Alligator mississippiensis: one gene and its partner. The main gene of each other region encodes a partner of the protein of the gene in region 2 in a complex. Links are inferred from orthologs where the notes say so. Each region holds a gene or a part of one and is shown on either strand. Other genes may lie near its edges.

Region 1 (14,775 bases), on a different chromosome or scaffold from region 2:
TGCCGCGGTGCCCTCTAACGAGGAGACCAAGTGCACGGCCGACCCAGACAAGTTCTGCAGCCTCTGTCACGCTACCTTCAACAACCCACTCATGGCCAAGCAGCACTACACAGGCAAGAAGCACAGGAAGCAGGAGACCAAACTCAAGCTGATGGCGCACTACGGCCGTACCCCCGATGCTCCTGCCGCCACCTCTGCTGGTGAGTCCTTGCCAGCCGCGCCTGTGCCAGGTGGGGGTGGGGACCTGTGGGCAGGCTGGGGACAGCAAGGCCTGGAGAAAGACCTGCCTTGCACAGGGAGTAGGATTGCCTGGTGGTTCCATTAAAACCCCTCTTGCTGCTGGGGTTTGTGCCTGACGTAAGCCTCAGTTGGAGGCTGTTTTTCAGGTTGTCCATTTCGATGCCTATTTCCCTTGCCTGCATGGGTAACCTGAGCCCCTCAGTGCACTGAGCTCCCAGTTGAGGGGACCGTTCCCAGTGCCAGCTGTGAAGATGGCACTTGCTGCTGGAAGGAGACCCCAGGGAGGTGACCTGTGAGAGGAGGGAAACCTAGGCTCGTGTACCCCTTGCCGCTCTGACCTGCATGGAGGGACGGGTTTACAGAGTGCTTTCTGCCCCGCTTTGCGCTGGCAGTTCCACCACCAGTGGCCCGCTCGTGCAGTCATGGCCCGCAGGTGACGCTCAGTTACAGTTGAGGCACTTTCCTCAGCCAGCTGACAATCCTCTGAGTGCTTCTTTCCCTTAAAGTGCCCAGCGTGAGGGAAGAAGGTTGTGAGGGACCAGTGGAGCTGGTAAAAGCTGGCAGTAAACTCTTGGGCCCCTGCTGCTCTGCCGTTCTGCCAGAGACATCACAGCTTGAGCTGCAAGGGAAAAGCAAGCAGGAAAGTCCATCGAGAGCAGGAGTTCCCAACGTTTGTGTGCTCAAGGGTACATTCAAATTTAAAAGCAAAAGCAGCGGGCGCCAATATGAATATTAAAGTTTAGAATTTAGATCAATCCGTTACTTAAAATTGCATCAGATCCTCAACTTCAAAATGCAGCTTCCCTTTACTTTGTATTCTTTTGAAGTTTTATCCATGGCGCCCACGGGCACCACGTTGGGAATCACTGATCTAGAGAAACCCCCTTGGGTCCCTTCTCCATCCTAAAGAGACACAAATGGTCCAAGCAGGGTGGCAAATAGTTTCCAGGGCACCTTTTGAGGCACTGACAGCACTAGCGAGTGATGGGTGTCTTTTACACAGGGCAGCATTCCCTCTCCCTCCTGTGTGCAATGTGGGAGGTGCTCTAGGGCTCTCGGGTGGGGAACAGCTGGGCAGTCAAGGGGTTTCCTGGGCTGACGCCTGCTTCTTTGCTTCTATTGAACCCTGGGTTAGTGTTGCAGTCTGTTACAGTTCAGGTGAAGATGGAGCTGGGTTCCTTGCCCTCTGTCCCTGCCAGGTGCTGGGGTATGGGGTATAGCTCTCTAGTGCAACAGCGATCTCCCACAGGGTGCCCCACGTATGCAGCTTGCATCATATCGAGCACTGCAGGCAGGATTTTGGAGACGGGGATATAGCTATCTAAAAGTGACCGTCCAACATGGGTCACAGAAGGCCAGGCTGGATCACCCTGGTGCCCCTCTGGCCTTTCAGATCAGATGCTGGACCACGGTTGTCAGGGTGAAATGGCCCGGAGGAGTCTGAGCCCTCTGAAGTGCAGCAGCCAGATGGGATCATCTGCTGCATCCCATGTGTCCCCCTACGTGCACACGGAAAGAACATGCATTCTGACTCCGAGAGCTGGGAATAGCTGGGGCCCGTCTTGCCTCTTGTTGACTGTCTGCAGCGGTCCCATGTGCCAGCTCTGCCAGTGAGCCCCACTGAGGTTCAGTGCATGCCCACCAGAGCTCTGTCCAGCTGGAGCTGCCATGTCACTCAGGGTGAGGATCTCTGGGGCAGTGGTGCTGGAGAAGCAGGGATGGTTGCAGAGAGCATGGACTGCTGTTGACATGCCAGAGGGCAGAGCTCATCGCTCCAGATGAGCACCGATGCAAGTGGGAGATGTGTCGCAGCCTGCTGTTACGTTTCCTCTTCAGCAGCTGCCTGCCCAGGCGCTTCGAGCGATACGTGTGTGACTTCCTCTGCTCTGGTAGGAAGGTGCACGAGTCAGGAGGGCAGATGGAGGATTTAGAGAGCAGGGACCTGTGGAGGCAGGGCACGATCAGGCTGGCTTGCGAGTGCTCGGAGCTCGCGGAAGGAGCCTGAGCTCAGCTGCGTTGCCATAATGGTGGCATCTCATAGCTGAGGTGCAGGCTGCTCAGCTGCCTTGGCTGACCTCCTGGCCCATATGGAGGCTCAGTGGGAGCAGGGGGCAGAGTACAGGCCTGTGAGGCCCTTGGCTGGGCAGAATGCCGGGCCTTTCCTTGGTGCTTCTTTTTGTTTAGCAGCTGTTTAATTAGCAAGTCAAGCGACTGCTTCTCTCACCTCTTTACCTGAGGCCCCACGCTGTCGGCTAGCACGTGCACTAACATTGCTGTCTGTTTCAGCTGGGAAGGGGTACCCCTGCAGCACCTGTAACATCGTGCTCAACTCTATAGAGCAGTACCAGGCTCACATCAGTGGCTTCAAACACAAGAACCAGTAAGTGACCTGTGGTGTCGGGGCCATTCCAGGGGCAGGAGTCACAGTGCTGTTTCATTCATGCCGTTGGCTTGTGGTACTGTTTCACTGGGATTGTGACCCATATGATCCTGTCCCTGCCAGTCAGCTCTGCTGTTCTCAAGCTGTGATCCCTGGCACTGCTCTGTGCTCAGTCCATGCAGTTCAAGCAGCCCGGGATGCCACATGAAAGCACTGTTTGCCAGCCCTGCCCTAAAACCACCAAGCAGCCAACTGGGAATGGGGACAGAGGCGATGTCAAAGCCAGACCGTGTTAGCAGAGCCTGCAGGGACCAGCGCAGCCTCACTGTCGTGGAGCTGCAGTTCTGCTGCAGCACAGATGCAAGCTGGGGCTGGGGCTGCAGCTCCAGCTCTTTGCACCACTTGTCCTGCTCCCCTCTCTGGTGTCAACATGCCCCACAGGCGCAGGCAGCAGGCCGAAGTCTAGTAGAGCCTAAGGCTGTGTCTCTCCAGGAGCCTGCCACTGGGTTGCTCTGTTGCTGACCTGTGAGGTGAAGGTGCACTTTTGGTGTTGCCCCAGAAACAGCTGGACTGGACCTGGCTGAGGTTGGGGCCTCATTCTCCAGAGCCTAGATCAGTTGGGTAAGAGTGTGTGCCCAGCCTGGTGACCCAGAGTAACCCAAGACAGGGAAACGATTGACCTTTTCTTTCCCTGGTCCCATGGTGGTTTTGCACGTGCAGCACCCTCCTGTCCCAGCAGGCTGGAAGGACGCCAGAACCTCCCAACATCTGTTCTGAGCTGTGGGCTGTGCAACCTCGATGGCGGAGGTCACTTGCTTTGCAGAGCCATGTGTGCGCCAAGAAAATGCCTGAGTCAGGACCCCCCCACCCCCAGTGCCTGACAACCTGCATCCCTACACACACAGACACTGTCTGCCTTGCTTGCTGCTTAACTAACAGTGCAATGCCTGGCCCCGCGATGGTGTCTGCCCACGCTGGAGCCTTGCTCTGGCCATGCCGAGCCATGCCAGCCCCTTCTAGAGCAATTCTGGGAGCAGGGAGCTGAGCTCTGAGCAGCCCGCAGTACCTGTGGGCACAAATGAAGCTTTCCACATCTTGCAGCCAAGCTTGTGCTTGCTGAAGCAGTTTTGGGGGCCTGGCCCTCGGTGCAGTATGCGCTGGACTCCAGCCTGACCCAGAAGAGAACCCCAACACGAGTCGTGCTTGACAGGCCTGCTTACTTACCGGGGGCCGGTGGCGCCACTCAGAGCTCAGGTGGATCTGCCATGGAGGTGGCAGCAGGTCACTGAAAGCTGTTGCAGTCCATGAGTTCCACACGCGTGCCCATGTGGCATGTTCTGTGACGACAGCGTGCACGCAGCGGTTAGCAATGGACTCCGGACAGTTCTGACATGCCGTTTTCTCCCTGCCTCCAACCTGCAGGATGCCAGGAGCGGTGCCAGTCGTGGGCCGGTTCCCGAGGCAGCAGTACGTCCGGGAAGAGTCGACCAGCCCGGGGGGCTACAGCTACTTCAGCCAAGACTTCTAGAGCCGGCTGCAGAGCTGCCCTGGGCCCAACTGGTGCTCCAAGAACAAACATCCTTTGCCAGCCCACAACGATTTCCTTGTCCCCAGGATGGGCAGGACCTGGCGAGCAGAACCTGCGCTGCCCATGGCTTGGGAGAGGGGCTTGCCGAAGCAGACTCCAGACAGCCTAACTCAGCCCTTAGTCTGTCTAGCCAGCGCTTGGCATTTCTTCTTGGGGAGGGGAAGGAGGCAAGGGGCTTTTGGGCCAGGAGGGTTTCAGCTGCGAACAGCCTGTCTCCGGTCCCCTCCCAACCCCTACAACGCCGCAGCAAGTTCCTGTGTCTGCCAAGCAGCCGCCTGGGCCAAGGCTCCGGGAGCTGTGCCCAGGGGCCACTGGATTGCACCCTTGGCAGCACATACGGACCCAGCCTTTCAGGGCTGCGCTTGTCCAGCCCTTCCCTGCTGCTGGGATGCTGTCGGCATCCTGGAGCCCTGACCCGTCACCCCCAGTTGCAGCACGTGCTGTGCAACCCCTGGGTGCAGCGATGGAGCTGCCTGGCTCTGGAGGTTGCTGCATACTTGCTGCCCTCCCAACTTGGAAGTTCGGGGGTGGCCCAGCCTTCTCCGCCAGTGCTCTCCGCGCTCTGTGCATGCCCCTCCAGCTGCTGGCAGGGCAGGGCTCTGCTGGAGGAGGCCCCTGCAGGAAGAGTGGGCAGCACAGCCCCCTCGTTGCATTTTGAATCCAGTTTGTATGCGCCTCGTCCTCTCCCTGTGGTATCCCCCTCCCTGCCAGGGCAGTGCCTGCGCCAGGCTGAGCTGAGCAGGCAGGTCATGAAGGGCCACGGCTCCTCCCTGCTGCTCCCTGTCTCATGAGGCCTGGACTGTGGGTCCTGGGGCAGCCTCAACCGTACAGGTGCGTGATGCTGCTTCCCCTGCTTGGCAGGAAGCCCCCTGCTAAGGAGGAAGACATGCCTCTGGGCTCCGGCTTACCCAGCACAGGCGAGGGGTGTGACAGCTGAGCGGGCAAAGCAAGCGGCAGTCCAGACACACCTGCATGCTGCTGTGCCTGGCCTGGATGGGGCCTGATCATGACATTGGCACTGGCTGTGCCCTTGCAGTGAAGGCCCCAGGCAGGGGCTGGAGCTGGATGCTGCCTCTGGCTGCGCTGGTGCCCTCCACCATCACAGAGCAGGTATCCACCCTCTCCCTTGGCACCTGCTTCCCTCCCCTGTGCAGGCGCCTGCTGCTCTGAGCCTTGCCATGTGTCTGGTGTCTGGGCTTGGCACCTTCCCCAGGAGCCCTTGAGCCCTCACAACCCAATGCATTAGGTGCTGCTGACCCAGAGAGAGCACTGATGTGTGGCAGGCTATGCCCTAGCCCATAGCTCCCATCTCAGCTGTGCTCCTGGCACCCTGCAAGGGCCTAGGCTCTGCCACAGGCTGTGCACCTCACTCCACGTGTCCCCACTGCTCTGTTCCACCTCCTTGGAGGCCACCCGCCGTGTCCACGTCCCCAGGCATCAGTTCTCAGAATAGAGCCTGTTTGTTACAAGCTGCGTGTGTGTGTTTGCGGCACTGGGCACAGCCAGGGCGTGTTGATTGCCCTGTATGGCCTTGCCTGAGGGACAGCCAGGGACTACTGCTATGCTGGGTGGAAAACCAGCTGCCTGCATTTTTGGGGTGACTCCCACAGCCAAGCCTTGGAAGAGCAGGGGCAGACACAGCTGGCAGGCCAAAGCTGGGTCCTGCTGTCAGCCCCACCAAGGTGAAGACATTTCCACAGCCCTGAGATGCTGCAGGCCAGGACTCGGAGCCTGCTCATGCTCACTACAAGGTGCCAGCCTGAGCATGAGGCCACCCGGCCCCCTCTCCCCTGCGTGGGGCTGCAGGTGCAGTAGGGGGTAGGTCAGCACTGGGCTCTGCCTGCTGCACCTAGCCCGCACATGGGCACAGACAAACCTGGGCATCCCCTGAAGCAGGCTGACCCCTGGGGCCTTGCGGCCCAGGCCTAGCAGGGGCATCCCCAGGGGAAAGCAGCCTTGCCTGCAGCACCCGGCCTCTCACCCACAATATGGGCTGCTGGCCCGGGAAGGAGGCAGGGACTGTGCCACCCGGGGCCTGGCAGAGGGCTGTAGGCTGGTCCCTAGGAGCGGGGGCAGCGGCTGCCGCCAGGTGGCAGCCCCGGGGCAGCAGCAGGGCCAGGCCGTTGCCTGGGGGAGGAAGGAAGGGCAGGGCAGGCTGCCGGCCCTGCTAGGGAGCGGTGCCAGCCGAGCCCGCTGCCGGGGCCAGCACCGCTGCATGAGGCTGCCACTCGGAGCCTGCAGCTGGCCTAGGCAGCGGCAATGCAGCCCCTGGCCCGGGCAGCTGCCCTCCCGGCCTACGGGCACCCGCAGTGAAGGGGTCTCCTCCTGCCTGGGCAGGAGGGGGCTTCATGGCCCCGGCTGCCCCTCTGCAGACAGCAAGCGGCTGTGGGTCGGGGCGGAGGGCCTGCAGAGCCCCCAGGTCGGGGCCGTGGGGCACTGGGGTCTGGCCCGCCCGAGCCGAGCCGAGTCGTGCCAGCCCCTGCGGCATTGCAGTCTGCAGTGAGCCGCCGGGCCCCGCCAGCCCTCCACAGCCAGGATGGGGCCGTGCCCGCTGCCCCAGACCTGCCCGGGCTGTGCCCGTGGACTCTGGCTGCTCCGCGGGGAGGGTCCCCCGGCCGCAGCCCGGGGCCCGCTGTCTACCGGGGGCAGAGGCAGGGCCAGGCCCGGGTGCCCCCACGGCAGCGGCCGCCCGCGCCCCCAGCCCCGGCTGCGGGGTCAAAGCTTAACTGGCCCCGCCGCCCGCTCCCCTCTGCCGGCCGGGGCGGGGGCAGGGTGACCTGCCCGGGCCCTGCGGGGGAAGCGGGCTCGGGTCGGGCTGGCCCGGAGCAGCGAGAGCCCGGCCGGGGAGGGACGAGTGAAGTTGGTTGCCTAGTCCCCGCTCCTTATTCCCGGCTGCTTTGGCAGCGCTAATCTAGACCCGATAAAAGCCTGGTGTTAATGAATTACAGCGAGAGCGCGCGTCGCTCGCCGTGCAGACGCACTACTTCGTATGTAAAGTAATAGCCCGCGGGAATGAGCGTCCGACTTCAGCCTCGCGGGGGGAGGGAGGCGCGGGCCGGACTTTGCCCGGGCTCGGGGCGGCCCCGCAGCCCTTCGTCACCCGGTTAAACATTAACCCTTCCCTGCCGGCAGCTGCCCGCCGGAGCCCCCGCGGGGCGGGACGGGGCGGGCCGTGCGGCCGGGGCGGGCCGGGGCGGGGACCGGCTGCCTCTGGCCGCGCGGTGCGGGGCGGTGCGGTGCGGGGCGCGGGCGCGGGACGATGCAGCCCGGCGTGTGCGCCCTGCTGGGGCTCCTGGCCGCGCTGGCAGCCGGGGCTCGGGCGGCCGGGGCCGGGCCCGAGGACCCGCCCGCGGAGCCAGGTGGGCGCGGGGCGCGTGTGCGGGGCGCGGACGGGCGCCTGGGCTCCGCGCTCCCTCCGAGCGCGGCAGCCCGCGGGGCGCACGGGCGGCGGGTGGCGCGGTCCGCGCGGCCGGTGCCTGGGAGACCTGGCTGCTGCCAGGGCGGCCCCGCGAAGACAGCCTGGGTCGGGGGGCACCGGAGGAGCCCTCTCTGCCCTGCCCTGCCCTGCCCTGCCCGGGGAGGCTGCGGGCTGCCGGTGCCCCCGCCACTCCCCCGGCCGGACCGAGGGGCTCGAGGGGGCGGGAAGGTGGCGGGATCGGGCCGGGCGGGAGGGGCCGCTGGCGGAGCCACGGGCACAGGCTCCGGGCACGGGCCCAGCCGCGCCGGGGCGCGAGGCAGAGCGCAGGGGAGAGGCTCTGGGGCAGGCGAAGCTGCTGCGGGCACCGGGCTGGCTGCCCCGCGCTGGGCAGCGTGGCCCGGGCCCCGGGGCGTCCGGCTCCGGCTCCGGCTGGAGGCCGGCGGCGAGGACCAGGGGGCTGCGTGGGCCGGGCGCCGGGCAGGGGGTCCGCAGCGCCATCCCTCCTGCCCCTGCTCCACGGTGCCCACTGCTGGCAAGGGCTGGGAAACTGCCCGTGCCGGGCGGCAGCATGACACCCTGCGGCACTTCGTTCCAGACTCCCTGGCGTCAGGCGATGACGATGAGGATGGGGACGGGGATATCTCCCAGGGGGATTCGCGCGAGGAGCTCCTGCACTTCCGCAGAGGTCAGTGCTGTGGCCAGGCTGCCCCAGGCCCTGTGGAGCAGGGAGTCCCCATTGCCTGCAGCCTGGCAGCACCACACGGTCCCCCAGGCCCTTTGCACTCCACTGTGGCTGCCCTGAGCCGGCCGGCTGGATCAGGCCCTGGCCTGGGAGAGCTGAGCATGCACTGTGCCCCTCCCTGCAAGCTGTGCCTGCACCTGCCCTGCGTTGCAGCCCCAAGCACCCGTGTGCCTTGGCAGAGCCCACTGCGAGCTGGCCGCCCCCGCCCACACACACCCTGTTCCCGTGCTCCATAGCTGTCCCGGCCCCATGGCTAATGGGCACGGCCACCCATGTCATCCTCAGCGCCCTACTGGACGCACCCCCACCGCATGGACAAGAAGCTGTACGCGGTGCCCGCGGGCAACACCGTCAAGTTTCGCTGCCCGGCATCAGGGAGCCCCAGCCCCAGCATCCACTGGCTGAAGAATGGGCATGAGTTTCGGGGAGAGCATCGCATCGGCGGCATCCGGGTGAGGGAGCGGGGCTGCCCCCTGCCTTCTCCAGGGGCCTGTGGCAGAGGTCCTCTGGTAGCGACCCCCCTGCCGGGCCAGGCACCAGCCAGGAGCTGGGTGCCCTGCAGAGAGCTCTGCCCAGGTGCCAGCTGCCCCTCACCGTGCTCTGTCCCGTCCTCTCCCCCAGCTGCGGCACCAGCACTGGAGCCTGGTCATGGAGAGCGTGGTGCCCTCCGACCGCGGCAACTACACCTGCCTGGTGGAGAACAAGTTTGGCAGGATCCGCTACAGCTACCTGCTGGACGTGCTGGGTGAGCCCGCTGGCCGGCAGCACGGGGGGCTGATCCTGGGGTCCTCCCCCAGCAGGAAGCCTGCAAGGAAGGGGCCTCTCAGCTGGCGCAGACCCCCAGGGAAGGCTCTGCTCCTACGTGGGCTGCCTGAGTTGGGCCCCTCCCGTGCAGCTCCTGGCGCTGCATCAGGGCCTTGCTGTTGCCCTTGGGAGCTGGGAGATAAGAGGTCATTGATCCCTCTGCAAACTTCAAAGGGCCTCTGGGAGCGTCGGGGTTGTAAAGTCCAAAGCAAGGAGCCAGCATACCAGCACCCCCCCCCCCCCCACTGCTCCTTATCAGGGCCGGGCCGGCGGGCGGGGATGGACCGGGCAGGCAGGGGGGGCCCGAGGATCCACAGCCCCGTGGGGAGGGACAGATGGGTGGGCTGACTGGGGGCCTCTGGTTCTGTGGGGCAGAGGTTTCCCAGGCCATGGTGCCCCCGGTCCATGGGCGAGGTGCCAGAGGAGGGCAGGGCCCAGCCGGGTGCAGCCCCGTTGGCTGACGCACCCCACTTCCGGCAGAGCGGTCCCCGCACAGGCCCATCCTGCAGGCCGGGCTGCCGGCCAACACCACGGCCCAGGCAGGCAGCGACGTGGAGTTCTTCTGCAAGGTGTACAGCGACGCCCAGCCCCACATCCAGTGGCTCAAGCACATCAAGCTGAACGGCAGCAGCTACGGCCCCGACGGCATCCCCTACGTCCAAGTGCTCAAGGTACCAGAGGAGAGGGCGCGGGGGCATCATGTGGACCCGGCCAGGCCTGATTGCTGCTGGGCAGACCCCGTGGTGCCCTGAGGAGCTGAGCCCACATGACGCAGGGCTCTGGGGAGCAGTGGGAGGCAGCCGGGCACCAGGGAACAGGTGGAGCTGGGGGTCCTGGGAGAATCAGGGCTGCGTCCTGCCTCTGAGCAAGGCGAGAGGGGTGGGGGCTGGGGGCCGGGGAGACTTCCCTGGACCCGGGGCCTGTTCTGGAGGGGGATGACCCTGGCGCTGCTGCCCCCCAGACTGCCGACATCAACAGCTCGGGGATTGAGGTGCTGTATCTGCGCAACGTCTCCATGGAGGACGCTGGCGAGTACACCTGCCTGGCTGGGAACTCCATCGGCCTGTCCCACCAGTCGGCCTGGCTCACCGTGCTCCCAGGTACGGGCCGGCCTGGGCTGGGGGAGGGAGGCCGCGGCCATGGCCCAGGAGCCCAGGCTGACGGCAGGCTTGCTGTGCCCAGACGAGGAGTGGGCCTGGGAGGTGGAGGCCCCGGAGGTCAAGTACACCGACATCATCATCTACACGTCGGGCTCCCTGGCCGTCGTCATGGCGGCCGTCATCATGGTCCTGTGCCGGATGCAGACGCGGCCGAGCAAGCAGCCCCTGGAGCCCGTGCCCGTCCACAAGCTCTCCAAGTTCCCGCTCATGAGGCAGGTGCGTGCAGGCACCCTGTGGGCATGGGGAGGGCTGGACCTGGTGGGCGTGAGTGCCCGGCTGCAGGGCAGGGCCCTGCCGGCTCCCCGGCCTGCACCCGCCCCAGGCCCGGCAGTAATGGGCTCCACGGTTGCCCCGCAGTTCTCGCTGGACTCGAGCTCCTCGGGGAAGTCCAGCACGTCCTTGATGCGCGTCACCCGCCTGTCGTCCAGCTGCACCCCGATGCTGGCCGGCGTCCTGGAGCTCGAGCTGCCCCTGGACTCCATGTGGGAGTTCCCCCGTGACAAGTATGGGGGGCCGCGGGGTGGGGGAAAGGGGTGCCCTGTCTGGGGCTGTGTCCAGGGCTCAGTCCCATGCTCTGTCCCACAGGCTGGCACTCAGCAAGCCCCTGGGGGAAGGCTGCTTCGGGCAGGTGGTGCGGGCAGAGGCCTATGGCATCGACCGTGACCAGCCCGAGAGAGCAGTCACAGTGGCCGTCAAGATGCTCAAAGGTACTGGTGCCCTGTGGGGTGCGTGCCTGTGTGTGCACATGCGTGTGCATGTGTGTATGTGTGTGCATGCACATGGGGAGCTCAGGCTGTGCCCAGGCCCCCAGCCCAGGGACCCTCTTCTCACACCTCCCCAGACAGCGCCACGGACAAGGACTTGGCCGACCTGATCTCAGAGATGGAGATGATGAAGCTGATGGACAAGCACAAGAACATCATCAACCTGCTGGGGGTCTGCACGCAGGACGGTGAGGGGCTTGGGGGCACGGCCATGCTGGGGGGCCGCACCCCTGGTGTGGGCACTGCTGTGCAGGGGCTGGAGAGCACTACAGGCAACTGCTCTCAGCGCTATGGGGTGGGGAGGGGCAGGGCTGTGCAGTCAGTCTGGCCACGGCACTGACGGGTGCCCCCGCACCGCACAGGGCCACTGTATGTCATCGTGGAGTTCGCCGCCAAGGGGAACCTGCGGGAGTTCCTGCGCGCCCGGCGCCCACCCACACCCGACTACGCCTTCAATGCCGCCCGCCTCCCCGACGAGCAGCTCTCCTTCAAGGACCTCGTGTCCTGCGTCTACCAGGTGGCCCGCGGCATGGAGTACCTGGAGTCCAAGCGGGTGAGGCCCGGTCTGGCTCGGGGGTGGCAGTGGGTCTGTGGGGTGGGGCCCGGCGCCATGCTCATGCTGCCCAACGAGGCAGGGAACAGCACCTGGGTGCTCCCCACTGCACCAGGGGGCTGCCAGGCCTGGCTCCAGGCCCCTCGTGATGCCAGGGCTATGGCCTGTCCCTTTGCGGGAGGCTTTTGGTCCCGTGCAGGGGTAGGGGTAGGGGTAGGGAGAGGTGCTGCTCTGGTGCCCCCCGCTCTGAGGACCCATCTCACTGCAGTGCATCCACCGAGACCTGGCCGCCCGCAACGTGCTGGTGACAGAGGAGAACGTGATGAAGATCGCTGACTTTGGACTGGCCCGCGACGTCCACGACATCGACTACTACAAGAAGACGAGCAACGTGAGCGTGGGGGCCAGGGAGGGGTCTGGGAGCAGGCAGCGCTGGCACACGGGGCTGAGGTCTGCCTGTCCCTGTAGGGCCGCCTGCCAGTGAAGTGGATGGCGCCAGAGGCCCTGTTTGACCGCGTGTATACGCACCAGAGCGACGTGTGAGTGCTGTGGTGCGGGCAGCAATGGGGCCGGGCGAGGCCTGGCAGCGTGCTCAGGACTGCCCTGGCCGTAGGGGCCAAAGGCGGTGGGTGCCTGTCCAGGCGGGTGGGTTCGGAGGCTGCGGGATGGACAGTCAGGCATGGCCCTCAGAGACAGAGTCCCTGCAAGCACCCGGGGGGTGCACCTGGGCCACGGCCATGGCCTCCCCCAGCCCTGACGTCGGGTGGCATTGCAGGTGGTCATTTGGCATCCTGATGTGGGAGATCTTCACGCTGGGCGGGTCACCCTACCCCGGCATCCCCGTGGAGGAGCTCTTCAAGCTCCTGCGCGAAGGGCACCGCATGGACAAGCCGGCCAACTGCACCCACGAGCTGTGAGTACCTCCGGGGCTGGGGGTGCCCCTGCAGCCGGGAGCGGGGGTGTGGGACCCGCAGGCTGATGGCTCCCCCCTGCAGGTACATGCTGATGCGGGAGTGCTGGCATGCCGCGCCCTCGCAGCGCCCCACCTTCAAGCAGCTGGTGGAGGCGCTGGACAAGATCTTGGCCGCTGTCTCCGAGGAGGTAGGGCCGGGAGGTGCAGGCGGCTTCCCGGGGGCACAGGCTGGACCCTGCTTGGCCACGGGCGAGTGCACATGGTCCCAGCTCGGCCCCTGGGATGGGGGCAATGGGGCTGCAGCTCTACCCGGGCATTTATGCCCGTCTCTCCCGCAGTACCTGGACCTGTCCATGCCCTTCGAGCAGTACTCGCCCTCCTGTGAGGACACCACCAGCACCTGCTCCTCTGACGACTCTGTCTTCACCCACGATCCCCTGCCCCTGGCGCCCTGCCTCTTCACCTACCCCGGTGCCCGGACATGAGGCCCTGCAGGCACCTGGCAGAGCTGCTGATAGCACCAGGGCCCAGTGGTTGGTGCCACCCAGCGCTGGGGCCCGGTGCGCTCCCAGGAGGACTGCAAGCAGCTGCCCCAGGGACAGGACTTCTCCGTGGCTGCCCCGTGATGCCCCTGCTTCCTGCCTGGGCTGTCCCCATGGGCACAGCAGAGGGAGCGGGTCCATGTGGGGCAGTGCCAGGCACCGGGGAGCTGCATGCGGGCCCTGCGGGCTGCCTGCCCGCTCCACGGACTCTACAGTGCCTCTCCTCTCACTGGTGGGCCCAGGCCCCCTCTTTGTGTCCCAGAGGATATTTATATCTGTGCGCGTCCGGCAGCCTCGATAAATTATTTTTTGGAGTAAGACCCTCGTGCTGGCGGTTTTGGGGCCACAGCCACCGGACGGCCTGACCCCAAGGCCCCTCTCAAAGGGGCAGCATGAAGGTTTCTCCTCAAGGGCCTTGTAGCCTGGTTTCCCCCCTCCCCATGTGCTGCCCCTTCCTGCTGTGGGGCTGCCCCCGCTCCCCCACTGCCCCTGCAAGGGCTGGGCTCCAGGGCTGCTGCATGCGTGTAGTGCTGCCCAGTCCTGGCACTCGCTCCCTGCTCGGGACAGGGGCTGCACCCAGGCATGTGCATGTGGTGCCCAGGCGTGTCGGCTGCGTGTGCACCTGTGCCCCCTCCTTGGCGCGGGGGCAGGGCTGGCCCATGCACAAAGAGCTATGCAGCTGTTGTGCATTAGCCGCTGCCCCGCTAAGCCACCGTGAACGCCGCTGCCCGCGTCGCCCTGAAACCGATCTGGCAACTGCCATGGCCAGGGCTGGGAACGAGCCTCTGCTCCCCTCCCCCTGCTCTCCCTGCCCACCTGCCGGGCGCAGCCCCCAGCCCAGGGGCCTGGGGCTGCTTCTCCACTGCCAGGGCCAGGCCGGGCCGGGGGGAGGGGAAGGGGCCCGTGCCTGCCCGGACCCTTGCTCTCACTCCTGGAGCCGGGCAGGCTCAGCCCCCGCTCCCGCCAGCCATGAAGGGAGTGTGGGCACGGCGGGGGGGTTGCAGCTGTCCCTCGCCCCCGCGCACAGGGCTCAGCAGGGTTTAGGGTTTCTCCGCAGCGAGCGGAGCTCAGCTCTGGACCAGGCAGGGGTTGGGTTTCGCGGGGGCCTTAGCCCCAGGATCCGGTTTCCTCCTCGTGCCCCAGCTGCAGCTGAGGGAGGGAAGGTAGGGGGGTGGGCAACCCCCTTGCCTGCTGCCCGGGCCCCTGGCAGGAGCAGGCAGGTCAGGGAGCTCCAGCATGCTCCCGGCTGTCTCCTATCCCAGCCCTGGGGAAGACCTGCCACGCAGGCAGCTGCAGCTGGTCCCCCCACCCCAGACGACCTGCACGGGGCTCCAGTGGCCCACAGCAGCCTGAGGGCTCGTGCCTGAACCAGCCTGGCACAGCCCCCAGCCCTGGCTCCAGCAGCCGCTGCTGCAAGTGGCACAGCGCTTGGTGGGGCACGAGCCCTGCATAGTGATGGAGCTGGAGCAGACGGCACCAGGTCAGCCCCAGCCTTTGCCCTGAGACGACACAAAGCGCTTCCACCACAGCCTCCGCCAGTGACAGGGGCCTGCCAAAGCGCAACAGGCCCACACAGGGCTCCCAGCTCGGAGTCTGGTGCAGCTCAGGGCCTGGGTGTCTCCTGGCCCCACTGGCTGCAGGGTCCTACCCAGCTCCGCCACCTGCCTGGCA
Region 2 (14,945 bases):
TCTCTTTTCATGTATGCTGGTATAAATCAGGAGTGACTCTCCTGAAGTGAATGGAATTGCACCGGCATGAGAACAGAATGGGGCCCTGTGTGATCTTTTTTGCAATATGCTTGTATTCTTAATGCCCAATTCTGACTCTAGCTTACATCACTTGTACAGAAAGCATGGCTTTCCATTAGGATATTTCAAGTCTTAATTCCACTTTTAAGAAGTCCAGAATATGCTCCATTGGGTAGACTTCCTTTTTTCTCTCAATATGATTCCAGTATAGAGTTCTCAGGGGCCAAAGGCCAAAAAAAGAAGAAGTGAATCAAGTGGAATGATTAAAAATATAATACATAAATAAAGTCATTTTCTGCCTATTGTATAGACAGCATACTAAAGAAAGTCCTACTAAAACTTAACCTGTTAGTAAAAACAAAACAAAATTACCACTCTTTGACCCCATTTAGCTTTTTTTAAACAAAAACATCCTCCCTCGTATACCAGTGTAAATCGAGAATTGCTCCCTGGGAAGACACTGTCATGACAGGAGAATCAGACCCAGTGTCTCTCCCAACTTAAACTGCAAATAGCCTCTGAACTGCTTTGCTGGCCCAGGCATCAAAACAGAGATGCCTCTCCCTATTTTAGGGAGAGAGAGCTATTGTAAAAGACAGTAGCAGGACAGTCAGCCCTCACCCCTTTAAATCTAGAAACATTTCATGCCAGGCAGTGGACACAGTGTGTCCAGTTCTGGTCCCAGTGTAACCCCATTGACCTTGCTGACATGACTTTAGATTGACAGTGGTATGAGTGGGATCAGATTCTGGCCTGCTGCTGCTTCTGTTATTGCTCTAGATGCCCCTATGCCTAATGCATAGTTATTCGGATGCCTCGGTGCTGTCTAAATACATTTAAATAAATAAATAAAGCATTCTGGTGAATCTGCATCTTGAGGGGGAAAATACACACACATTCAAAATAAAGAGATTATGTTAAACATCCATCACATTTGACTTTCCTGTAGAGCCTGCTTCTGATTTCTCCCCACTTCCAGTGCGTGTGTGGCATAGCTCCATAGATTGAAAACCCATGTAAGTGAGATCAGAATCAGGCATGAAAAAAAGGACATGGTAAAACCATTAAATATAGATACTGGGTCAGTTCTCTTAGCTGGTCCAAATCAGTGTAGCTCTTTTGAAGTCAGTGGAGCTCTGTGGATTTCCTCCAGCTGCGGATTTAGAGAGAATGAGAAGTTCTGCTCCAAAGTTATCTTTGGGCAGAAACTCTTCCAAAGCTAGAAAACCTATTTAGGATGCACAGCACCAACCAGGTTGCTGGTCAGAATCCACTCAGTGCAAGTGGTTACCAGTACTCCTCACACCTAGTTTCTTAAGCAATTGTAACAGCAGGAGAAGCATTAAGAAAGCAGGGCAAGGCTTAGAGTTAATGTTTCTATCATCTCCCTCTTTGTGTTTAAAGATAATGAGTTAGATTAATCCCTGGTAGAGCTCCACTGAAGTAAGTCATACTTAAATATTCCTGCAAGCAAAGCATAGTTTGTTTGACACCTGTCTCCATGTTCTGTGCAAAGGACCTAATTCCGCTACACTGAAGAACACGGGAGTAGGAGCCACTTGCTGCCACTCCTGCACTGAATCATTTGATCCAGGAAGAGACTGTTTTGCATAAGAGTACAGCACCTGGTGCATCCCAGGTACTTTCCCTTCAGGATAGCTAGCCAGTCTGAAGGTAAGGCTTCGCTGTCTTAAGGAGTTTGGATACAAAAAGAACTGTTTTGACCAGCATCTTGACCTAAAACCCAGTCTTTTTTTTGGAGTTTGGAATACATGTTTCAAATTGTCTTTCATATCTGTTCCCTCTCCTGCTCTTAATTATTTTGAGACCAGTTGCTAAATTACCAAGTTAATCTTAAGAGTGTTTCTAGCTTTATCAGAAGCAGGAAGTACCAGAGAAGCTCATCACAAGAGAACCTTATTTGGGATCTTTTCCAATCCTGTCTTGCAGATCTATGGGAACAAATAAAAATTTAGAAAAGTATAAAAACTCCATCAGACCTCTCCTCTGTGGTTTGTCCATCCAGAATTTTCCATTTATCTGTTGGTGAAACTACATTTTAACTTTGGGCAGACCTCAAGAGAGAGGCTCAGTTCTGATAAGTGAGCTTATCTAGAGTGTTTACCAATCCATCTAGATTGAACCAGGCTGGAAATCACAGAAGGAGTGTTTTTTCCCAATACTTGCAGATCTTAAGATAAAAGTATAACTTATTGTAGGAAACAATGCTGTGTAGGGACAATACCATGTAGGGACTTCCCTGTACAACTCTGCAGCATGATATGGCCCTCTTGGACCTTCAAGGAAACAGCTGGGATAGAATTCAAGTCTTCCACTCCAGAAATACTCATCCTGACAGACTCTAGTTAGAGGAGTATCTCTATTACCAGTTAGAGCTGTGCAGGGCCTATGACATGCAACTGAGCAACTATGATTTTCTCCAATAGAGTTAAGTAGTATACATACCAAAAACATTAACCTGGTGGATACAGTTGTGTCATACCTGTTATTTTTTGGAACTTCTTGCTCTCTGGGTTGGAAATACTGCAAAAAAACTTTTCTTCATTTTATTTCCCTACACTTCTGCCCTAGACCTTGGCTGACTGCAGGGAGCACAATATAGAAGGAACTATGAATAAAAAGAGTAAAAGACTGCCAGAGCGTTTCCAGACCCCAAAGTAATTTCAGTATGGGTTCAGCATGGTCAATTCTTACTGTATCCAAACTAACTCTTTCTCCTTAGGACCAAATTCTCCTGAAAATTATTCCAGTTTTACTCTCCTTTAACATCAGTGGAATTACTTTGGCTTTACACTGGTGTGAAAGGAGACTTGGACTCTGATCTTAACAAACCAAAATACATTGAAGGAAGTTTTCTATAAAATACAATCAGTTATGTACCCATTGTCCTAGAGTTTGCAGGGTGGTTTGGAAGTGAATTTCCCTGCCTACACTAGAATTTAGACACTGTAGGACCCAAATCTCTCAGGCCTCATTAGGAATTGTATATAATTAATTCCTTGGTTAGGAATTGTATACAATTAATTCCTCAGTCTTGGGTAGAGTTCCTTCTTATTTACACTGAGGTAAGTGAGTGGAGATTTGGACTCTCCAATGTGTGGTTTGTATTATTACCTTGCAAATATAGCTTATTTCAAGTAACATAAAGCCCAATCTGTAAAAATACATTGTTCAATTTTCCAGTAACAGGTCATTCTCATGAACAAAACTCAAATTCAGCATCTTTCAGGTTTCTAATAGGCCATGTGAAAGAAGGTTAGAGATTGGGTATCAAAGCTTCTAGGGCACGAGCCAGTTCTTTCTGTCTAATATATTCACCCATGTCTCTAGTCTATGGTGGAGCAACACCCCGCTATCTTGTAATGTAGAAACGAGGGCTGGCGTGCCTCCTTGCATCCATCATGGAATGAGGGTCATCTGGGTTGACCACATCATTTGGATTGAATCGCATGGGCTCTCTGGGCAGGTGGGCGAAGTTACTTTGAAACCGTTGTGGCAGGGCCTGCACTGCAGAGATCTTTCTCTGGGGGATCAACATCTGGTGGGGGTCCATAGGATCAATATCTGCATTTCTAGTGTGCCTGTGGGGTTCAGGCGTGTTGAACCGGATTAGAGGGATCTCATTTCTCCTGGACAAAAACTGGGAATAAGGTGGTGGGTTCATACCAGGGAAAAAAACTTGCTTAGCTCTGCCTAGGCTGACCAAAAAGTGGTACTTGGGAGACTGGTACACGTCATATCCATTTTCCAGTGTCCTTTGTTTAAACACACAGTCCTCTTGATTGAAGTAATGCTTAAGAAACAAAAATAGGGCAAGTGTTAATGGTTCAGTGGGTTAACAAGTATCAGTAGGCAACAGGGGGACCAGTGGCTACATCTGGCAGTTCTCACTCTTATGAAGAGCTCCACTGGCTTCAACAGGCCCTTTCACATGAGAAAGAAGTGCAGAATTAGGCCCTTCAGGTTTTTTTAAAAAGGTCCTAGGGGCCAGTACAGCAAGTAAAAGTGCCTATCAGCCATCCTTGATGCTCATCAGAGCTGAGGAGGCTTGCTACCATCAAGGATGTACTCAGAGCATTGTAGGATTGGACTCTAATTTCTCTCCTCAGACCCTGGCTTTAAGTAGTAGCAAGCAAGTCTTAGTAAAATGTTAATCTGATAAGCACTCATAGTCCCTCCAAGTCTTTGAGGTTATATCTCTGTTCATATAAAATAACTTCTGTGAAGGTGTCAATGTCTTCCCAGACATACCCACAGATGACATGGATTTGGACCTGCCTGGGTTTATCCCATGGCAGCTCCCTTGGCTTTTGCAGAGAGTTGCGTTGGCACAACTGACACAAAAATTAAGTCTGTTAATATAACTAACTAAAAGCAACACAGTTATTCTAGACTAATGGCCAGGTCCTTGGCTGGTGTAAATATTTCAGATTAGTGACTGGAACAATGGAAATTTACACCAGAGAGGAGGTAGCCCCATAGCAGTTGGCAAGACTTGCTCTGCATTTCACTCGAGTCTCAGGAAGGTTAAAAATACTCACTGATCCAAAGATATTTCCTTGGATGTCCATGCAGAGGTAGCACCCGCTCTTGACACCGGTTATCACCACGTAGCCTGCATTTTCAGCTTTGATCATGAGAGCACCTGCAGAAAAAAAAAAGTATAGTGTCCAAAATCAGGGAAGGGTTTTGCCTTTCAACAAAGAATTAGCTGAAACTTTCTTTGCAACCTGTTTTCTTGGCACTTTAAAGTTTAGTTAATCACAGTTTTCCAAAGTGGCCTCTCTCTTTAATTTCAGGCCAGTGCAGCAAATACTTTTTTTCCTGTATTTTTATTTCAGTCCAATGAAGCATAGATAAATTATGAGTCTCTTTGCTTTGAACTAAGGTGCCCAAGTGCTACTTAAAACTATGTTTATGGGGTACCTGTGCTAAAAGTTGCAACAGTTTAAAAAAAAGTAAAATGTATCAAACATGGATGAGCTAAGTCTATGGGAGTTATATACAAATCACTAAAGCTATGTTTATTTCAAGGTCAATTTTTTCAAATTTACTTTTTTGCTCTCATGTGCTCAGGAAGAGCAGGTCTGACAATAAGGAGTGGGGGAAGGGACAGTAGGGGGTAGAAGCTGGCAAGGACAAAGGGGTTAGCTGATTCCCCCAAATTTATTTTCCGTGCTGTAGCTGTGAGAAGGGGACAAATTCAAGACAAACCTCCAATAATTATATTCTGTACCTGGACAATTATATAAAATTTATAAATGTTACATATTAGGATCTAATTATTGGAGGGTCATATTATAATCAGGGTTGTCTTATATTTGAGTAAATACAGGTAGCATTGTTCAGTTGTTCCAGTGCTTATTTTCTGATAAAAAGTCATAAATTAAGCAATAGATCTTTTATCCAAAAAGAAAATAAACTTTTATCTCTATTATCTACACATTATCAATCAGGAGATGTATGCTGCATTAATAAGTTGGAAAACAATCCTCAATATTCCTAGTAGGTTAACGTTTGAGTTGTGAAATGACCAGGGTGATTTTTAAGTGTCACGAAATGCATCTGAATATATGGCTTCGCACTTAGGGTAAGTTTTGAACAGCAAAAGAGGAGTCCCTTAATTATGCTAGAACAATAAATTACCTTGAGCCAATTTGTGAAACTTTTAGTCCCAGTGGAGATCAGTCACATATGAGAAGTCCCACAGAAGTCAATGGGAGTTAAAAGTTTACCCATCATAGCCTGGCTTTTGCAGATTCCATTATTTAATTTACAGTTGGACATACAATTATGCATTTCATATGCACAGGGATATTTCTCACACAGTGATCAAATGAATAGTTCCCAAGCTTTTCTCTCAAGCAGATATTCAAAGAAGGGAACAGTTGATGCACTTGCAAGTGAAAATTTATGCATGCAAACACATGGATGAAATTAGCCATCTTCCATTCACAACAGCAGGCTTTGTGGACACAATCTGCTTGCCTCTATTATTTGCACTTTCCTCAGAAAATGTAGTGGTTAGATTTATAAGCTGCTTTGGATGTGTCATTGTCCAACACAAATTTGAGTTGTGACAGGAAACCGGGGACATTCCTATAGAGAGAAGTTGCGTCTGGCAGTTTTTGACAGGTATCCTGCATTTATTACTTATAAAATGAAGACTGAAGGTCATGTCATTTGAATTGTTTTAAGCAGCTTTGTTCATTTGTTAAACAAAAGGACAGGGTTGTTTGAATCTATTCCAGGAGGTTTGTGGAACGCCAACATACCCATGACACACAACGTAACCATGCCTGTGTGCTTAAGTATATCAGTTTTTGATTATGGTGCATAGACTTTACATCAGGAAGGCAAATGTACATTACTGTTACATTTTTAAAACCCTGTATAAATCAGATTCAGCATTTAATATTTATGTTCATGAATGACCTATCATTTATCTCCTGGGTGACTCTCAGCAGTCTCCTGGAGATTTATATCTAATCCCTGGAGACTCCAGGGAAATCCTACAGGGTTGGCAACCCTACAAAAGGATAGTCTTTAACTAAATTCTATTTTCCTTTTATCTGGAGGGAAAATGCAAACGTTTAATTAACCATTGCTCTCCACGTGCGAGTACATCTCCCATACCTGGTCTCCAAATAATCTCAGTGCATTATTCAGCCTCCTTGCTCTAGCTCTCTTTCCTTTGTCTCACCTGAGGTAGGATGCTTCCCCAGACCCTGAAAGTAGAGAGTCTGTCCTGTTCAGGGGAGGTCTGTGTGTGTAACAAGCTACTTACTGTAAATGGTTTGGTGAGGGGTCCCATCCACATAACCATCAGGGTTGATTTGCAGATGAAAGCTGTTCTTCTCCGTAGACGTGTACAGGTGCATCAGACGATCTGTGCTTCCCCAGCTGGGATTCAGCAGTGGAGAGGAGTTGGGAAAGGCAGCTATAGCCTTCAAGCTGCACAGGACAAAGAGCATGAAGTCCAGGCGGCTGTACTGACTGGTCTGCAACATGGTGCTCTCTTCTTAGTGGCTGGTGCTGTGTCTGAAACACGATACTTTGCACTCCTTCTTTTCTGCCTCCTCTTTGTGTGTATTTGGAGTGTGAGTCCTCAGATGGGTTCCCAGCTTTTTAGCAGCCACTTATAAAGGGCAACCAAGTGACATCACACAGGAAAAGTTTGTTGTCCACATCCTCAATTTATTTATTTATTTTTGTCAGAGCAACATTTTAGGCAAGTCCTGAGACCCAGGGAAAGGCAGGTCCTCTGTGCAGTGGCGGGGGTGGGGGCCGGAAGGAATACATGGTTTTTAAAGACAGCCTTCAACAGTTAAATGTATGATTAGCTCTTATCTGCAACACTGACATCAGAAAGCTTCTTGCCCCCTGCTCTTCCCAAGAAATAAGGAAAGAGAAGTCATTATTGTACTGTATGACTCAAATGCTACAGTGTTCATTTCCCTTTTTGCCTCTGGGTTCAGATGTATTTTTCCCTATTTTTCTTGTCTGAGCTGACAAAACTACAGGGAACTTCCTAAAATGCATCCGATGTCCTCAACTCCCTCTCAAGTCAAAGTCAAGGCACTTTGCTGGATCAGGCCCACAGTTTGTTTCAAGAGACAAGTGTGCAAGTGCATGGGCTTGGCTCTGCTCTCATGTTGATGAAAATCAGCAGTTTACTGGCCCAGGGGAGCCATCTTTGGGCATTGATCTAGCAGCTGAGGGGAGAATCTGCCCTTTTAACATAAACTCTCCTTATTATTTCTTCCCTCTTAAGTTCTTCATTTTGAGCCATCTCCATAGCCTGATTTACAGTGACAAGGCAGCTGGAAGCGTCTAAAAGCACTTGGCAAGAGAATTTTGTTTATCCGTTCCTGCTTTGAGCACCGAGATGGCACTCCTTTTACAGATTCTTGGCCTGCCAAACAAACTAGCCCGGTGAATATGAGCTGAATCTGATCTATTTAACCCATGAGCACATTTAGGGCTGTATATACAGCAAGTATCTTCTCAAAGTCATAGAAGGGACATTGCCAAATTGAAGTAAAATCTTTAATAAAATGTCATTTTGGACACGAGATCAGTGGTGAAGCTGTCTTGCTGATTTTGATGCTGTTGCGATCATTTGGGGGTTTTTTTTCCCCTATTTCAAACTTTTCTTTCCTACCTTGCAATCAAAATAAATCATGCAAATAGGAAAGGAAACTGATAGCACAGAGAATCTGTGAATCTAGGTTATGCTAAAGTTGCTTTCAAAGACACAGAATAAAATGCAAGAATTGGTGGAAAAAAATAGATTTGTCTTTCTCATTTAGAGAAACCCAATTACGCTTTGTAACATGTACGTTTTCAAGCAGACACAGAGAAAGGTTCCCAGAATCTCCTTCCATCTGATGCACCAAATTCTTGGTTTCAGTTGATTAATCTGGAGCAATGCCATCAAAGTCAGTCAAATTATTTTAGCTTTATACCAGTATCATGGAATCTGTCCCAGTATGTTTTGCTGTTCAGTAACTATTTAAAACAAGCATCTTAGTGCCAAATCCTACTCAGACACACCTATGTAAATCTTGACTGATGCCACATCTGTGTACACACCTGTGTAAATGATAGCAAAATTCTGGCCCCAAATGTGCAATGTCGGGCCCCACAGTGGAGCAAATTGATGAAGCTCCATCGATCGATACCCACTGTGGAAATGCTTCCTAACGTTTCATACAAGGAGGTTTTAGGGTGTAGTGACCGCAGGGATTGATAATCTTTCCTTTCATTCAGGAATTCCATGTAGTGTGAGAATGGGCTGATCAGTGTTTTTATCTATGTTAGGATTGTTTGATGGGGAGCTCTTCAGGTTGCTATTAGAGCACAGGTATTTCCCCCTGCTCAACCACTCCCTGCTCTCCCCCCACCCAGTTGCTGCCCCATGTAGTTCAAGCCAGTGTCAGAGACGGTATCTAGCTCCAGACACTTCTCAGACAGGTGCAAGCAACCCTGGAGTAGGTGAATGTGTCTTCCCTCTGAGGGCACATCTGTATGGAAAAACACATGTGAGGAAGTTGTGCCCACAAATACACAGTGCTGTTTCACCCATCAGAAAGAGTGTGGCCACATCCTGTGACAGCTTTGCATTGCTATGTGACATGACACATCAGTCCAACTCTCAAGCTCACTAGTCCACTTGAAGTGATGTGCAGAGGTGGCTACACTCCTTCTGTCTTTGGAGGATGCACTATGTGGAGCAGTGCAACTTGGTTTAAGGGCCTGCTTCCTGGCTTAGTGAACTTCCTATGTAGGCATGGCTGTCTCCTAATTGCTGATAGTTAGAGATTGATTTACAACCTGTGGGGTAAAATTTTAAATCCTGGATAAAACTGTTCAGCACCTATTCTATGGTATGCTCTGCTTATCCACATAAGCATTAGGACTGTGCGAAGCTTTGGGTGGTGATTCGATTCGGAGGAGATTAGACCCGATTCAGTGGCCAAATCTCTGAATACAAATTGAATCAGGGGACTCATTTAAAGTTCCGAATCAATTCAAAGCTCTCCAAACCTTCGGCAAAGATTCGGAGAGGTTTAATGATTTGGGCAGTCCCTGGTGGCTCCAACAGGGAACTGCAGCCGCTTGGATCTAGTAAGTACTAGGGGCAGGGGAGGAGGGACTGGGGGATGTGGGAGAGGACCATGGGGGGGGACCCCTGCCAGCCCCCCCCCCCGGCCCCTGCCCACTCCCAGAGCACCCCCCCATTGCTGTTCCCCCCCCCCAAGCTCATACTTAAAAAAAAAAGTCCTGGTGCTCACCAGATGCTGCCGGGCAGGGGACAATTCCCACTGGCCCACACTGCATGGGGGACTCTGCACGAGCCCCCTCCACCCCCCCCCCCACAGCTGCCCCACCTGCCAGGGCTCTGGCCCTTTAAGAAAAAAAAAAAAGCTGAGAAAAGCCCTGGGACTCACCGCTCCTCATGCAGCCCGGGGGCTTCTGGGGCTCCTGCAGAGCCCCCACGTGGGTGGGGCAGTGGGGATCGCCCCCTGCCGGCAGCGGTGAGTCTTGGGGTTTCTTCAGGTTTTTTTTTCTTAAAGGGCCGGAGCTGGCCCATGCAGGGCATCTGTGAGGGGGCTGGGGGTTCGGGGGCTCATGCAGAGCACCCCACACAGCGGGGGGTAGCAGGGGGCAGCCGGGATTGCCCCCCCCCACCCAGCAGCACCTGTTGAACAGGGGCTTTTTTTCCCCCTGAGTGCTGAGAGCTAGGGCAGACAGGTGGCCATTGCTGGGCTGGGAGAGGGGTGGGGGGTGGGCCTGGCCTGGCTGATTTGGAGATTCTGCTGCTGCCGAATCTCTGAATCAGATTCGGCCGAACCAAATCAGGACAGTGATTCAAATCACCGAGTCGAATCATTTCCCCCCGAATCGGCCAAATCCGAAGTGAATGCCAACTGCTTCACACAGGCCTAATAAGCATCCAGTCACACCTTATAGGTTCACCTTCTTTGAAATAGAGCTAAATCACTGAGGAGAATTTGTTCAAGCTCCATCTTGGTGGATGGCAGATGTCCCTTTCCCTATGTGGCATAGGAGCAAAAGCCACTGCTGGGTATTTCAGTGCTCAACGTTTTGCAGAGGTTCCAATAGGGTCATTGCTGCCCCTGATTTTGCTGAACTGTGTTTGTTTAAGTCTTCAGGCTAAAGCAAATTTGCTTAAAATCTCAGCTTGTCAAACTCCTAGAGGGGAGTTGCTTTTTAAGGTTTTTGCTTTTTAAAACACTTCTTCTTTCTTTGAGTTTGAATTTGAGGTAGGTGCATGTTTGTAATTTATATATTTGTTTGTCTCCTCTTTTTTCTTTCCAGTTGAACCACATGCTCCATTGAATGTTGATATATGATTAGTTTGTGTGACATTTCATTTTGGTATATGAATTTATATTTTCTAGTCCTTTATGTGTGTTTGACAGAGGAATGGGGTGCATTCTCCATGGTGCCTTGAAGACCAAGCCATAGTCTGGGGAAAGACCAAGAGAGAGATTTTCCTCCCTGTACAGTGTTCAAAAAAATTGGCTCTGTTTCAAAGACTTCAAAAAATCGTGGCAGCTTCATAATGCCAGTATCATTACTGTGACTTTTATTTGCATTATCGTAGCATGGAACAGCCTCAACAAAGATTATGGCCCCACCGTGCTAACTCATTGTAATGGGTCATCCCTGTCCTGAGAGGCTTACACTCTACATGGACAAAAAAAGGGGTCATTGATTTTCTTTCCCTCCACGTGGCAGGCGGGAAGAGAGAAGCACAGAGGGATTAAGTAACTTGGCCAGGGTGGACTGAGAGCTCTGTGACAGACAGAGACTGAACCAAGAACTTCCAAGTCTGAGGCCAGAATCTCTAACCAGAAGACCATTTCTGGCCTCTCTGATTGTCCTGTGGTTAGTCAAATCAGGGTATGTCTAGACCGCGGCCACAGCAGTGGCTGCAGCTCAGGGTAAACACACCCAAGCCAGCTGTAAAGTCATCAGCTTGAGTATGGACAATGTAGCTGCAGCAGCCGAGAGCTCTCTGTGGGTTATCTGCCCAAGTACTTTGCTTCTTGGAGGCAGGTGCTGCAGCCCTTACTGGGCCCCATGCTGCTGCAGATATGCTGCTATCAGTACATGAGCTAGCTAGTTTTAAAGCTAGCTAGGGTATGCCTACATCATACTTGGCATGGACCACAGTCTAAATACACCTTTAGAGGTCTTGTGTAGAATATATCTCTTATGAATGTAAATATTTACTGAAACGGCAACATTGCTACTTTAATGTTGTATATATTTCATTTCATTTTGTTTTTCTCTTCCTGATCGTGCCATGTAATTACCCAAAAGGCTCTGGTAGCTTTTTGTAAGAAGAAGGGTGTTTGAGTTTGTGGTGTTTGAGTTTGTGGTTTTCCTTTTGCCCATGTAGAAAGAATCTTATGGTTTTCAGAATCTTCCTGTAGCGTTGTCCGACTTTCACCTCTCTTTCTACTTGCCAACTGCTGAGCTAGAAAACTGGTAGACCAAAAGACAGGCAGGAACTGAGGACTGGACTCAAATGACAATTCCTTTTTCCCTTCAGATATCTCAAGTAGTAGGAAGAGGAAAAGGGCTGCTAGCTTTAAAGTTATGACAATGAGGGACACTGGAATTTGTGGCTTCCTATAAGGCTTTTCTCCAGGATCCCCATCAATGGTTTGTGGAAGGTGGGACCTCCCTGAAGACTCCTATCACTTTTAGAATGACTCAGATGCCAATGTTTGCCTCCTCTCCTGGAAGCCTTAAAGCACAAAATAACTCTTAATCTCCCTGTTAGGTCAATTCTCTTTCTCATACTTAGGTTCAAGGGCCATTAATTCTGTGAGTTGATTTTTTTTTGGATCAGTAAAGTGAGTAGAATAGGTTCTGTTGGAATTTATGTTATCTAGTCAAAGGTACTTTATGATTCCAGTAATAGCAAGTATGGGTGTCCAAAAGGAAACCAGGATGTAACAGCTCTGGAAGAAAGAGAAGAATAGCGTGCTTTAAATGTATGAATCTTTCACCACCTATTTAAAATAGACCCGATTCAGTCCTTGAGTAAAAAGACAGTCCTCCCACTGAAATGAAAATGAGATACATCGGGGTTGAAATTGGCCAACTAGCTCTGAATCAGATGAGATCAAGTCATTTTGTCTGCATCCGTCTGTTATAACCTAAGAGTAAACACACTTGCTCTTAGGGTCAGCAAATCAGGATCAGATAAAATAAGAACTGACTCAGACTTTTGGCCAAGAGCTTGACCAACAGCTGTTTAGGGGTTTGATGACTTAATAATGAAAAACATTCTTTGTCTGATTGTCCACTTGATTGTCTGGCCCAGAGGCCTAATTACCATAGTGTCATGAGAAATATTGCTTGAGTGGTGTTTACAGACCTAGAGGCAGGAACATCAGAATCTGTGAGGGTCTGTGGTTTATATTGCAGTACTGGAGATACAATTAAGTAATGTAGGAACTAAGAAGGTATAAGCAGTAGGGAGCACAACCTTTATTTTCATTAAATATGAACTAATATTTGGTGTTTTGTTATGAAAATGCATTATATAGGATTAGTAGGGTTAGAGTGTTATTGTAGTTGTGATGGTCCAGGTAATGTATGAGAGTCAAGAATTTGTTGTGTTATCTTTGGACCAACTCTATAGTTGAGACAGCTGCTGGACAAGCTTTGGGGCATCAAGTGTTCTTCTTCAAGTCTAGGTTTGTTGGATGAAGAGGCCCATAAGCTCTATTTCACTGTGGGTGGATCCACACAAGTAAATACAAGTACCATTCTGCTGCAGAGTTTTTTACTCCATAGCACTGGACGTGTAGATGCCTCCCTAGCTGGCTGGAGCACAAGGGTGCTTCAGTGTGGGGGCTGCCTGCCAGCCAGAGCTGCTCCAACCCAGCTCAAACTGCTGTGCTCCCCGGCACACATTCAAACAGCAATAAACACCAGAGCAATAAAGTCTGGAGTTTATTGCTTCACATTAATTGCACATGTAAATGCACCCTGTTATTAGCAGGTGCATGTTTCCCTATCCAAAATACTGTTATGTTACCTACTCACAATAATTTACATATCCAATGTGTGTACGCTCATTCTCTCTCTCTCTGTCTCTCTGTCTCTCTCTCTCTCAGTGTCTCTCAGAATCCCTTCTTGACCCATACTCTCAAAGTCTGTCTTGTGCTTGTTCCCTTACTGCCCACATGTAATGGCACCCTTCTTCCGCACAGAGTGAGGACATATTTTCTGAGCCCATGGAGTCATTTTGGTTTCTGTAATCAGATTGCCCTCTCTCCTATTCTGTTGTTTCCCATCCGGGTGTGAGTCGCTCTGCTTTGGCTGGCACTTGCAAACCTTTTAGTAACCATAATTTGGGCATGTCACGCTGTGACATTTATTTCCTCTTGCTGGCCTTTAATGAAGACATTAACTAAGATTGGATGCAAGGCCAATATTTTATAACTCCTGTCACTCATTACTTGTTCTCCTTCTCTCACCACTTGCCACAGGGTTTGTCTAAATTACTTTAAATTCATGTTTTCCAAGTCACAATTTGTCAGCAACAGTGTAATTTCTTAGGCCCTGAGGGAGGAAGTATGGTTAGTGATGAGATTATTACTGCTCTTCTGACAGGCTGCCTTTGCTGCTGGGGTATTCAGGGAAGCTTAATATACTATACTACACATGACAGTTTTTTATTAATACTCAGCTTGTGGCAACATTTGGATGCTAGTCAGGTCGCCAACACATTGTGCTAGGTGATGTCCAGGCTTTAAACTATTTTTGTGGTGTATAATTCAATTCCTGTTAAGTGTCAAAAATTAGGTGAAGATGTACTGGCAAGTTGGGTAGATCCAACTATATTTAAGGCTATCTGATGCTTCCCGTTATAAGACCCTGATCAGATTTACTGTTGGATATTTCCACCCCCACTTACATCTTAATTGCTAGGTGAGCTCTTCCCTACCAGGTGTCGAAATGGTTATGAAACATGTCAACACACTGGACCAGGATTATGTAGTAACAATGGTGTTGAATGTGTAAGACCCAAGCCTCATTTGCTGCAGAAGTTGAAAAGGGTGCAATAAGGTCATTCTCACATTGTATTCGGCCTTGGTGAGGCCACAGCTGGAGTACTGCATCCAGTTTTGGGCTCCACAATTCAAAAAGGATGTGGGGAAGCTTGAGAGAGTTCAGAGGAGAGCCACACGCATGATCAGAGGTCAAACCTTATGAAGAGAGGCTGAGAGCCATGGGACTCTTCAGCCTGGAAAAGCGCAGGCTCAGGGGTGATCTGGTGGCCACCTATAAGTTTATCAGGGGTGCTCATC

Evidence for each region.
Region 1: the proteins of FGF23 (region 2) and FGFR4 are in contact, whole or in part, in a cryo-EM structure (PDB 7YSW), measured with the Homo sapiens proteins. The link is inferred for Alligator mississippiensis from reciprocal best matches to the Homo sapiens genes FGF23 and FGFR4. Residues at the interface, in NP_065689.1 of Homo sapiens: Leu32, Gly33, Ser35, Trp36, Gly37, Tyr43, Ala45, Thr46, Ala47, Arg48, Asn49, Ser50, Ile75, Arg76, Ser77, Glu78, Asp79, Ala80, Gly81, Val83, Val84, Tyr93, His117, Gln118, Thr119, Asn122, Gly123, Tyr124, Asp125, Leu158; in NP_001341913.1 of Homo sapiens: Glu156, Lys157, Lys158, Leu159, His160, Ala161, Val162, Pro163, Asn166, Asp240, Leu242, Glu243, Arg244, Ser245, Pro246, Lys272, Val273, Tyr274, Ser275, Asp276, Ala277, Gln278, Pro279, His280, Ala308, Asp309, Ile310, Ser312, Gly336, Asn337.

What each region holds. Positions count from the first base shown.
Region 1 is NC_081832.1:79,310,764-79,325,538, forward strand, and holds FGFR4 (fibroblast growth factor receptor 4), read left to right. Parts: upstream 1-7,425; 5' UTR 7,426-7,467; coding exon 7,468-7,567; intron 7,568-8,221; coding exon 8,222-8,311; intron 8,312-8,653; coding exon 8,654-8,820; intron 8,821-8,989; coding exon 8,990-9,113; intron 9,114-9,652; coding exon 9,653-9,843; intron 9,844-10,133; coding exon 10,134-10,272; intron 10,273-10,354; coding exon 10,355-10,548; intron 10,549-10,689; coding exon 10,690-10,835; intron 10,836-10,917; coding exon 10,918-11,039; intron 11,040-11,173; coding exon 11,174-11,284; intron 11,285-11,458; coding exon 11,459-11,649; intron 11,650-11,917; coding exon 11,918-12,040; intron 12,041-12,117; coding exon 12,118-12,188; intron 12,189-12,424; coding exon 12,425-12,562; intron 12,563-12,644; coding exon 12,645-12,750; intron 12,751-12,900; coding exon 12,901-13,047; 3' UTR 13,048-13,422; downstream 13,423-14,775. Other genes in the region: ZNF346 (zinc finger protein 346), read left to right, coding at 1-200, 2,527-2,620, 4,043-4,148. UniProt on the Homo sapiens protein: Tyrosine-protein kinase that acts as a cell-surface receptor for fibroblast growth factors and plays a role in the regulation of cell proliferation, differentiation and migration, and in regulation of lipid metabolism, bile acid biosynthesis, glucose uptake, vitamin D metabolism and phosphate homeostasis.
Region 2 is NC_081827.1:142,542,005-142,556,949, forward strand, and holds the start of FGF23 (fibroblast growth factor 23), read right to left. Parts: upstream 7,300-14,945; 5' UTR 7,092-7,299; coding exon 6,869-7,091; intron 4,727-6,868; coding exon 4,623-4,726; intron 3,875-4,622; coding exon 3,434-3,874; 3' UTR 1-3,433. UniProt on the Homo sapiens protein: Regulator of phosphate homeostasis. Inhibits renal tubular phosphate transport by reducing SLC34A1 levels. Up-regulates EGR1 expression in the presence of KL. Acts directly on the parathyroid to decrease PTH secretion. Regulator of vitamin-D metabolism.